Linked DNA regions of Schizosaccharomyces pombe. The protein of the gene in region 1 interacts with the protein of each later gene in a pairwise test. Each region holds a gene or a part of one and is shown on either strand. Other genes may lie near its edges.

Evidence for each region. Proteins that work in one complex are often made in the same cells at the same time.
Region 2: the proteins of scs22 (region 1) and epr1 interact in a two-hybrid assay, tested with the Schizosaccharomyces pombe proteins (one study listed by BioGRID).

The regions. Positions count from the first base shown.
Region 1 is NC_003424.3:4,477,226-4,481,648, forward strand, and holds scs22 (VAMP/synaptobrevin-associated protein family protein), read right to left. Parts: upstream 2,727-4,423; 5' UTR 2,687-2,726; coding exon 2,497-2,686; exon of another isoform or gene 2,325-2,496; intron 2,268-2,324; coding exon 2,152-2,267; intron 2,071-2,151; coding exon 1,417-2,070; 3' UTR 1,414-1,416; downstream 1-1,413. Other genes in the region: nuclear proteasome tethering factor Cut8, read left to right, coding at 625-1,413; SPOM_SPAC17C9.11C (zf-C2H2 type zinc finger protein/UBA domain protein), read left to right, coding at 3,680-3,787, 3,933-4,423. UniProt on the Schizosaccharomyces pombe protein: Vesicle-associated membrane protein-associated protein (VAP) implicated in maintaining the cortical endoplasmic reticulum (ER)-plasma membrane (PM) attachment.
Region 2 is NC_003424.3:2,423,576-2,428,525, forward strand, and holds epr1 (ATPase co-chaperone protein), read left to right. Parts: upstream 1-2,240; 5' UTR 2,241-2,615; coding exon 2,616-2,704; intron 2,705-2,838; coding exon 2,839-3,892; 3' UTR 3,893-3,957; coding exon of another isoform or gene 3,958-4,200; 3' UTR 4,201-4,392; downstream 4,393-4,950. Other genes in the region: ribosome assembly protein Rsa3, read right to left, coding at 3,958-4,200; tRNA m(1)G methyltransferase Trm10, read left to right, coding at 4,445-4,950. UniProt on the Schizosaccharomyces pombe protein: Reticulophagy receptor required for autophagosomal sequestration of endoplasmic reticulum (ER) membranes during ER stress. Confers resistance to ER stress by promoting the autophagic degradation of the ER (ER-phagy or reticulophagy).

The sequences.
Region 1 (4,423 bases):
ACAATTAGTTAAATAGTTATTGACTATAACATTGATCCATACGCACAATTACTTCGAAAAAAATTATTATTTTGCTCTTCCAACTTAACGATTTTCTGTACTGCGTTAACATATTATTGTAGGCTTGACACTCAGCTGCGGTGACATTATATTAAATAAAATGTAATTTTTTCAGTAAACAAATTAAGGAATTAAGTAATAGTTTGGTAACGTCTCATGAGAAGAAAACTCTTGAGCCACTAAATTGTTCTTACCATTTTCCATTATCTTTTTTAAGAAATCGAGGTTCTAATTGAGCTGGTATTGCGGGCAATAGAGCTTCTTGTAATATAGAAATTATAATCGACGGTTTTATTTCATTTGGGCTGAGAAAAAAATTAAATTGCTAGCTTTCATAAGTCGATACACTGAGCAATAGCCATCCTTCCGGCTTTTAAAAAAGGAAGCTCATTAACAAAGTATCCTCTATCTTTGTTTTATTGTTACTACTTTTGAAATTTTTTCCTCTTTCTTTTGGAATATCCATTTCTTTGTAATTTTCATTTTCTTTGTTATAATTAATCAGACGATTTCACGTTTGAAGTTGGTATCTTTATTTGTTGTTACTGTTCATTTCCTTAATTCATGGAGACCTTATCTTATTCTCAGATTAAGAAACGCAAAGCTGATTTTGACGAAGACATTTCTAAGCGTGCTCGTCAACTACCTGTGGGTGAGCAACTGCCATTGTCGAGACTGCTACAATATTCAGACAAACAACAGCTTTTTACAATTTTATTACAATGTGTAGAAAAGCATCCTGATCTCGCACGTGATATACGGGGCATATTACCGGCGCCGTCCATGGATACTTGTGTTGAAACGTTGCGTAAACTTTTAATTAACTTGAATGACTCATTTCCCTATGGTGGTGACAAGAGGGGTGATTACGCATTTAATAGAATTCGTGAAAAGTACATGGCTGTCTTACATGCGCTTAATGATATGGTTCCTTGTTATTTACCTCCATACTCTACTTGTTTTGAGAAAAATATTACTTTTCTTGATGCCGCTACAAACGTTGTCCACGAACTGCCAGAATTCCATAATCCCAACCATAATGTTTATAAAAGTCAAGCGTACTATGAATTAACGGGCGCGTGGCTTGTTGTTTTAAGACAACTTGAGGATCGGCCTGTAGTCCCTTTACTACCTTTGGAAGAGTTGGAAGAGCACAATAAAACATCACAAAACAGAATGGAAGAGGCATTAAATTACCTTAAGCAATTACAAAAAAATGAGCCACTTGTACATGAAAGAAGTCATACTTTTCAACAAACAAATCCACAAAACAATTTTCATCGTCATACTAATAGTATGAACATTGGGAATGACAATGGAATGGGTTGGCACAGTATGCATCAATATATTTAAAAACTAGAACAGAAGGCCTATAAGGAAACATATAATGGCTAATAGGAAAGCGGTTTGCACAGTAACTGTGTTATGAATTTGAGGAACAACCTTGGCACCACTAGTCGGACGCCCAAAAGACGATGAAACGCGTGCAAGTCCTATTTGATTTCCACTGTTTCCAGCGAACATAGATGGACTCGTAGCTGTTGATTGTCTTGTGTTATTAATTACATTAGCGGTAGATCTTAATGCATTATTTTCATTGTTAGGAGAAGTGGTAGTAGGCACTGACTGAGGCTTTGGGTAAGGTTCATTTTCAGCGACTGTTGCAGTAGGAGCTTTTACGGCAGTAGATGGGGCTTCATGGGGCTTCTGGTGAGAAACTGCAGATGTTTTAGGAAGCTGGGTATGCTGTGTAGTAGCTGTAGATGGAGCAGCTACGGGATTTGCATGGGTCGAAGGAAGTGCCGTTCCGTCTATTCCTTTAGAGTAAGATTGATTAACATTACCATTTACTGTGGTATAATTGTCAGTGGCAGAAGTAGGAATAGATGTAGTCGTTGTTTGAGCTGGTTGATGGTGAGCATTAGCATGAGCATTTGCAGTACTGGGGCCTTCACTATAAACACATCGAATTTTTCGTTCCGATATATTAGCCTTGCTGACTTGAGTCCACTATTAAAGTATTGGTTAGAACATCAATTATGTATGGCATGTATTAAAAAAGTAAATGTAAGTATATCTTTTATCACATACAATATCTGCTATATCCATTCCCTGTAATTCTGGCTTCAATTCAGTGCTCTGGACCAAAAATTTATCGCGGCATTTTGTGCCAGGAGCCGGTTCGTGATCTAGAGGCTGTAGGATAACTATTAAAAAAAAAGAAGTTAGTAAATGAAAATTTACAGCAATAACTAATGAGCACAAATTATCTTCCAGTGCACGCACAAAAACAATAAAAACTGTTAGTTTGCAAAAGAAAATCACGTTGATGACAACGTTTTTGTTCCACCCGACAACATCAATGATGGGAACCGCTTAAACGAATAAAATCAAAAAATGCAAATGAGGTTCAAAATTAAATATAAATTATCTTACCTTCAACACTTACAGCCGAATTGGCTTCAATTCGACCACCGTTGGGTCTCACACAGTACTGTTTAGGAGCAGTAGTTTTCACTTTGAATCCGATCGGATAAGGTGCAGTATTGCGAAGTTCTAAATCACATTTTACTAGTCGTGTAAGTGGTCGAGGAAACACAATTGTACTATCACATTCAAGAGCCATGATTTACGGGAAAGGCGAGTTTGTTGCGAGAGGTGGTACTACTTTACTCTGCGAAGTACCATTTCGCAGTGTAGCCAAAAATCGTGGCTTTACGTCACACATACTTGTGTGTGATTTTCCGAGGCTGAGCAAAGATTATGGTAATATATGGATACTGAAATAAAAGGAGATAATTATTCAAGTAACTGTTTTCATCGATATTATACAAAGCCTTATAACGATATTATTAAAATAAATGTGATATTTTGAAAGTAAAAAGTAATATATGCTAAAAAATATTTTGCAGTAGGTGAATAATGTACGAATGCAGTATGGTTATAAAATCCCAATAAGTATATGGATTTATTGTTTGTGAAATTAATAAATGATATAAATACCCAAAAAGGATGATTCAAGTTATCCTTTTTAATTTCTAAATGTCATGTTAATGCGTTTGAATTGTCTTAATTACAACTTAAGAATGCAAGGATGAAGTAAACATTATGATTTCAAAAAAAAATTGCGCATTCGTTTACACTTTCTATTCAAAGGAAATACGTTTTTTGGTTTAGACAATCATTAAATAGATATTGTATACTTTCGTTAATGGTCATTATGCTAGGGAAAAATCAACATTTTTATTTCAAGGAATATCAGCGATGCTTTAGAAAGCATACCATGTATAAAGGAAACGAATTACTCGAGTGGATGCCAACTACAGGATCACGAAAGTCAGTAATCATTTTCAATCATCGGTCTGCGGATGTCGTGCAATATATACAATCATTTATTCTTCTAATTCATAGCGTAATCGGTGGTAACTACAATTATTTTGTTTCATTTGACCTGTCATTTCTATTTCAATGACCAACAAATTTATAATGCTCTCAACTGCGATGTTTGGTAATACGATATTGTAGATATTAGCACGTTAGATGTTGAGTCGATGGAACGTAGGGCTATTTTTGAGCGTCATTGTAATTTGCCTTTTGCAACTACAAACTCTACACAAAAATGGTTTTGAAATGTTTGGAATGCGATAAATTGCTTTCCTCCATCGAAATGGCTGAATTTCATAGTACCAAAACCAGTCATGATCAATTTGAGGAAACTGAAGAAGAGGTATGTATAGATTTTACTCCTTTTACTTTTTGCTGAATGGTTGAAGCGTTCGAATTGTTAACCATCCTTATTATTATAATTCACGAAAACAATAATTTGTTTCACTCGATCCTTTCTTTTTATTAACAACGATTATAAAACATAGATTAAGAAGCGTTCTCCCGAAGAGTTAAAACAAGCTATTGAAGCTTTAAGAGAGAAAGCAAAGGAGAAAAAGGAAAAAGAAAGGATTTTGGCTCTGGAAGAGAAGAAGACAAATTATAAAATCCTTCAAAAATCCAATGATGAAACTGCACAGGCTATGAGAAAGATGCAGGATCAAGCCCGCTTACGTGACTTGCAAAAGATCCGTCAACAAAAGGCTGAAGATGCTGAGCAGCGTAAGAAAATCCTCGCAGAAATTGAACGCGATAAAAAACGACGAGCTGCAGAACGGGAAAATAAGAATTCTTCTGTAAAAGAAACGGCTGCTCCCATCAAGCAGCCTAAAAATGCCAATTCGTCTTCTACTTGTACTCGCACCCCTCCTACATCAGGCAGATTTTCTATCCGACACGATGGTCAAGTTTGTAATATAACTATTGCAGCTGAGGAGACGCTACGCCAATTGGCACAACAGGTCGCTGAGAAAATGAA
Region 2 (4,950 bases), 2.1 Mb from region 1:
TAGAATAGATAAATGGAATGGGAATGAAAATAAATAAAATGATTTTCTAATACCACGTTTCGAATCAACCGAAACCGTCGTTCGCAAACGGAGACCTGCCTGGCTTGATTCAACCAAAGGTACGTGAGTGTTTAAAATTGTAAAGAGATGCGTAACTCCTTAATACTTATACATATAGTAAATGAATTTTCGATACTATTTCAAAAGTTTTAACACTGTACTAATCGTCAAAATCCTTGTTGGTTCATGACAGGTGAAAATCCTTGCAGTCCTTTCGCATCCTTATATTGCACCGCGTTAGACGACGCAAGGTGGCAAACCAAAGCATTTCCCCCTGACGTCATAAAAAGAGCGGAGGAACTTGCGGTATAGGTAATACTACCCAACCGCACTCGGGTTCGCAATGTTATTAGTAAACGGCCTTCCGGTAAGCCTTACAGTAAAAGGAAAGGAAGCAGGGGCAATTGGAAGACCAGCAGTGGTACGAAATCTTCCTTAGCTTTATAGAATGAGGCTTGTGCTGATTGTCAACAATTTGCTGACAATGTGTGAAACGTACAGAGTTGGGTTGTTGAACAAATGTTCTGTAGCACTGTGCCAAAAGAGAAAAAATAAAAAAAAATAAAAAAAAAAGAGAGATAAAGGATAGTCGGTAAGAAGTTGAGCCTCTTTGTTTTCCTCTTTTTTGTATTGTTTTTAATTTTGTATGTATATGATAATAAGTAGGTATCTAATTATATTTGATTGATCCGATTAAACCGGACTATGACTGTAATAACCATTTTATTCACGATTAGTTAACGGTGTGCCACAAAAAACTAAAACAGATAAGGGCAAGTTTCGTATGGAATTATTGTACATTATCGTATTGAGTAAGTAGATAAACGTGTTTGATGACTATAGACATTAAAAGGATTATCGAGATTGTAAAATTTTGGTTTTTTTACAGATTAGAAAAAAAAAGAAAAAAAAAAAAAAAAGAGGAGAAGGACATGTTGCAAATCCGTGAGTCAATAAAACAATTCTGGAAGAAGCAATTTTTTAGTATTCACAATGTAAAGGAAAGGACGACAATTACAATTTCATTGAATAATCCCAAGCTATAGGAGAGACTTAAAACGAGTTTGAAATATTGAAGAATATAGAAGGATAAGAAAGTCGATTAGTATGAATTTTGAGATTCTATTAAAATATGAATAGCAGCAATTGTTAAACTATCAAAATTTTTCTTTTATTCATTATACAATGCTATTTACTTATTACGGTGAAAAACTAACACGTCAACCTCAAACAATTTAGGATTTAAACTTTCGCTTTCCAATCAAGTTTAGATTTTTATTTTCCCTAAAAGTAGTCTTCTCATTTGCACATGATTTTGTAATGCTAAGCTTGGGGTAAATGAAAGAGACCTCCCTTTTGTAAAAGAAATCTGCGTAATGCTTATAACATCGGGTCGTAATTGCTTGACTCAATAATGTAAACAAATTTTGTTAAAACTATTTGTCCCTTGAAGAGGCAGTGTTATATAGTCAGATTAGCAACACAATATATTAAAAACATCGAGGAAATTTGCATTAATAAATGCGAAATTTTCGTATTCTATATGAGCGAAACCTTAGCTAAATAGTATTGATTAACTCAGAAAAGACCAAGCATTCATAGCGAAATTAACATGAAAATTCGTGATAATAGCCTTGCTACATGAAGGCAAGAAGTTCGTTTGTTTTTAAGCAATGCAAGCATGGCATTATTATTAGCGCATTGGCTTCTTCTAAAAAACACAATCTTACATTTTAATTCGGTTGTGGAAAAATTTGATCTTTAGTTCAATGTCTTTTGTAAACTGATAATTTTAACTTCATTTTTTGGAAATGTGCATTTTGCTAATGCATATATAGCAGCAAGACCTTAAATAACAATATAAGTTTTCATGAGAACCATGTTTTCTTAATTAAGAAGACAGTAGTTTGTAAACTGTATTAAGATTATACATATATCAATATATGTTAATATATATATTTATTCATATATTCATTTTTTACAAAAGTGATTTTTCGGATTTCAAACTGTCTAAAGTTTGCATGTATAGAACACAAATTTATTTAGGGTTCAAATGATTTCGTACACAACTTTAACTTATGTTTCGCTTGTTGTATTTATTTACTTCAGCATTGGCGAGACGTGAGGGACCACACCATATTATGTATTTGCGGGTTTGTCAACACAGATTTAATTTACCCATAGCATATTACTTTATTTTTTAGCATTAACAGTATTTTGATTCGTTGTTTCTCGTCAATTCGCCTTTTTGTCTCTTTCTACATTTTTTGAAACACAGTTGGGAGCTATTGTCGCCGGTTTGTGAGAAAGATCACCATTTTACATAGAACGTACTGAAGGTATTGTATTTTGGCGATTGAACGGGCAACTCTCAATTTTTTTGCTTTTTTTGTATTTCAATTGTAGAATTGAATTGTTAGTTTATCACAAGCAATCTCAATTGCGGTTGATAATTCATTCCACTCCTCGGCCTTGGAATTTTGTCTTTGAAGCTACTTTATATAAGTCTTTTACTGGTTAACTTATGATTTTATGCAAATTATTTATCACCAATCATGAATAACCCTTTTAAGGATATGGATTGCTATGAAATCTTGCAAGTGAATCATGACTCTGACTTGCAAGAGATTAAAGCAAATTACCGGTATGAAAACTTGTTTTCAACTTAATCAATCAACATAGAATATAAATTTACAGCTTTTCGATCTGTGATTAAAACATAATCGTTTAAGTTGTGAAGAATTGATCGCCTTTGTGTATCTTTACTAATCATAACAGAAAATTAGCTTTGCAATATCATCCCGATAGAAATCCGGGCATTGAAGACTATAACGAAATATTTTCCCAAATAAACGCTGCATACAATATTCTCTCTAATGATGATAAACGAAAATGGCATGAAAAAGACTATCTAAGAAACCAATATTCTGTACAAATTGAAGACGTTTTGCAGCATCTACAAACAATTGAGAAAATCCCTTTTGAAAGCACCTCAGCGTTCGTTGAAAGACTGCGACAAGACGAAAAAATAGCGGGTTCCACAGACGACCTTCCAACTTTAGGGGACACAACTTGGCTTTGGACGTATGCCAAACCTATTTATCAAAAATGGCTAAGATTTTCAACGAAAAAATCTTTTGAATGGGAAGCTCTATATAATGAAGAAGAGGAAAGTGATGCAGCTACACGGCGATTAATGAAGAGACAAAATCAAAGGCAGATACAATACTGCATTCAGCGATATAACGAACTTGTCAGAGATTTAATAGGAAAAGCATGTGATCTTGATCCACGGAGAAAAAACGTTGTGAAACTAAGCGATGGAGAAAGATACAACTCCCTACAAGAAGCATCGCGAAAGCAAAGTGAACGTGATCGGCGTCAGTACCAGGAAACTTTTAAAAACCAATCAATTGCGTCTTGGACAATAATCGATCAGGAAGAAACATCCAGCGATGATGAATCTTTGAGCAAAGAAATTGTGAATTCAAATCCAATAATGTGTATGGTTTGTAACAAGAACTTTCGATCACAAAATCAATTGGAGAACCATGAAAACAGCAAAAAACATAAAAAAAATTTAAGGAAAATGAACCAAGAAATAAAAAAGCACGCAAAAGAAGCCCAGAAAAACGCGGAATCGAATAAACAACCCGAAGATGCTCCTAGCGAATCCCCATATTCGAACAAAGTTTCTTCCTCTGACTTCTATACGAGAAGTTTTGAGGAAATAGAAAAAACATTTACTTTTGTCGAAATCTCTGATAACGAGTTTTATACAGCATCCGAAGATGGTTTTTTGAACGAAGACGATAAGTTGGATCAAGATTAGCACCGCAAGCTTATCTTTTTTAATAGAATAATACAGGTCTGTTTTTTGCTAAGTTATATAAACCATTATTCATAAATTTTGTGACCAGCACGCAAACTTTCAATAAGCAATTGTAGTTTGTTATGATCAAAAATTTCCTTTTGCCTTAAATTGTCTAGCTCTTCTCCAAACTCTGAAGTAAGTTGTTCCATATATTCAGATAGTGATGGCTTTTCTGTTTCTTTTTTTGAAAATGTCTGAAACATAGGATTTTCAAGCATATTTGATACCGTCGATTTGTTATCGATTTTTTGATCGTTTGTTGCCATTTTTCAAAGCTTGTTTTGTCGAAGTTTGTAAATAATACAATTTTGCAAAATTTTTTTATTTTCGACTTCCTGAATCCCTTTATTACCCAAAGTTAATAATTGCGAGATTGGCGTAGTTACCAACTTTTTATACTTCACAACACTCTTACTTTTTCCATTAGATGAACAGCCTGGCTAGGTTCAAAATAACGATATAACTAGATAAATTTAGGCTATATTTTGACTGCAATAAAGTTGGGAAATTATGGAAAACAAAGACGCTTTAGATATTGGTAAAGATGACACAAATACTTCTGAAGCTGACGTTTCTAAAAATGAAACTCAAGAGCAACCCGTTCTTAGCAAATCTGCATTAAAAAGATTAAAAAGACAGCAAGAGTGGGATGCAGGTCGTGAAAAGCGAGCAGAGATGCGCCGGGAAAAAAAGCGATTACGAAAAGAGGAAAGAAAGCGAAAAATTGAAGCTGGCGAAGTAGTTAAAAGTCAAAAGAAGAGGATCAGACTAGGAAAGGTCGTTCCTAGTAGTATCCGAATTGTTTTGGATTGTGCATTTGATGATCTGATGAACGATAAAGAAATCAACTCTTTATGTCAACAGGTTACTAGATGTCATTCTGCAAATCGTACAGCTTTACATCCTGTAGAACTTTTTGCTACCAACTTTGGTGGACGTTTGAAAACCAGACAAGATTTTGTGCTAAAGGGGCAACAAAATAATTGGAAACGATACAACCCAACTACTAAGTCTTA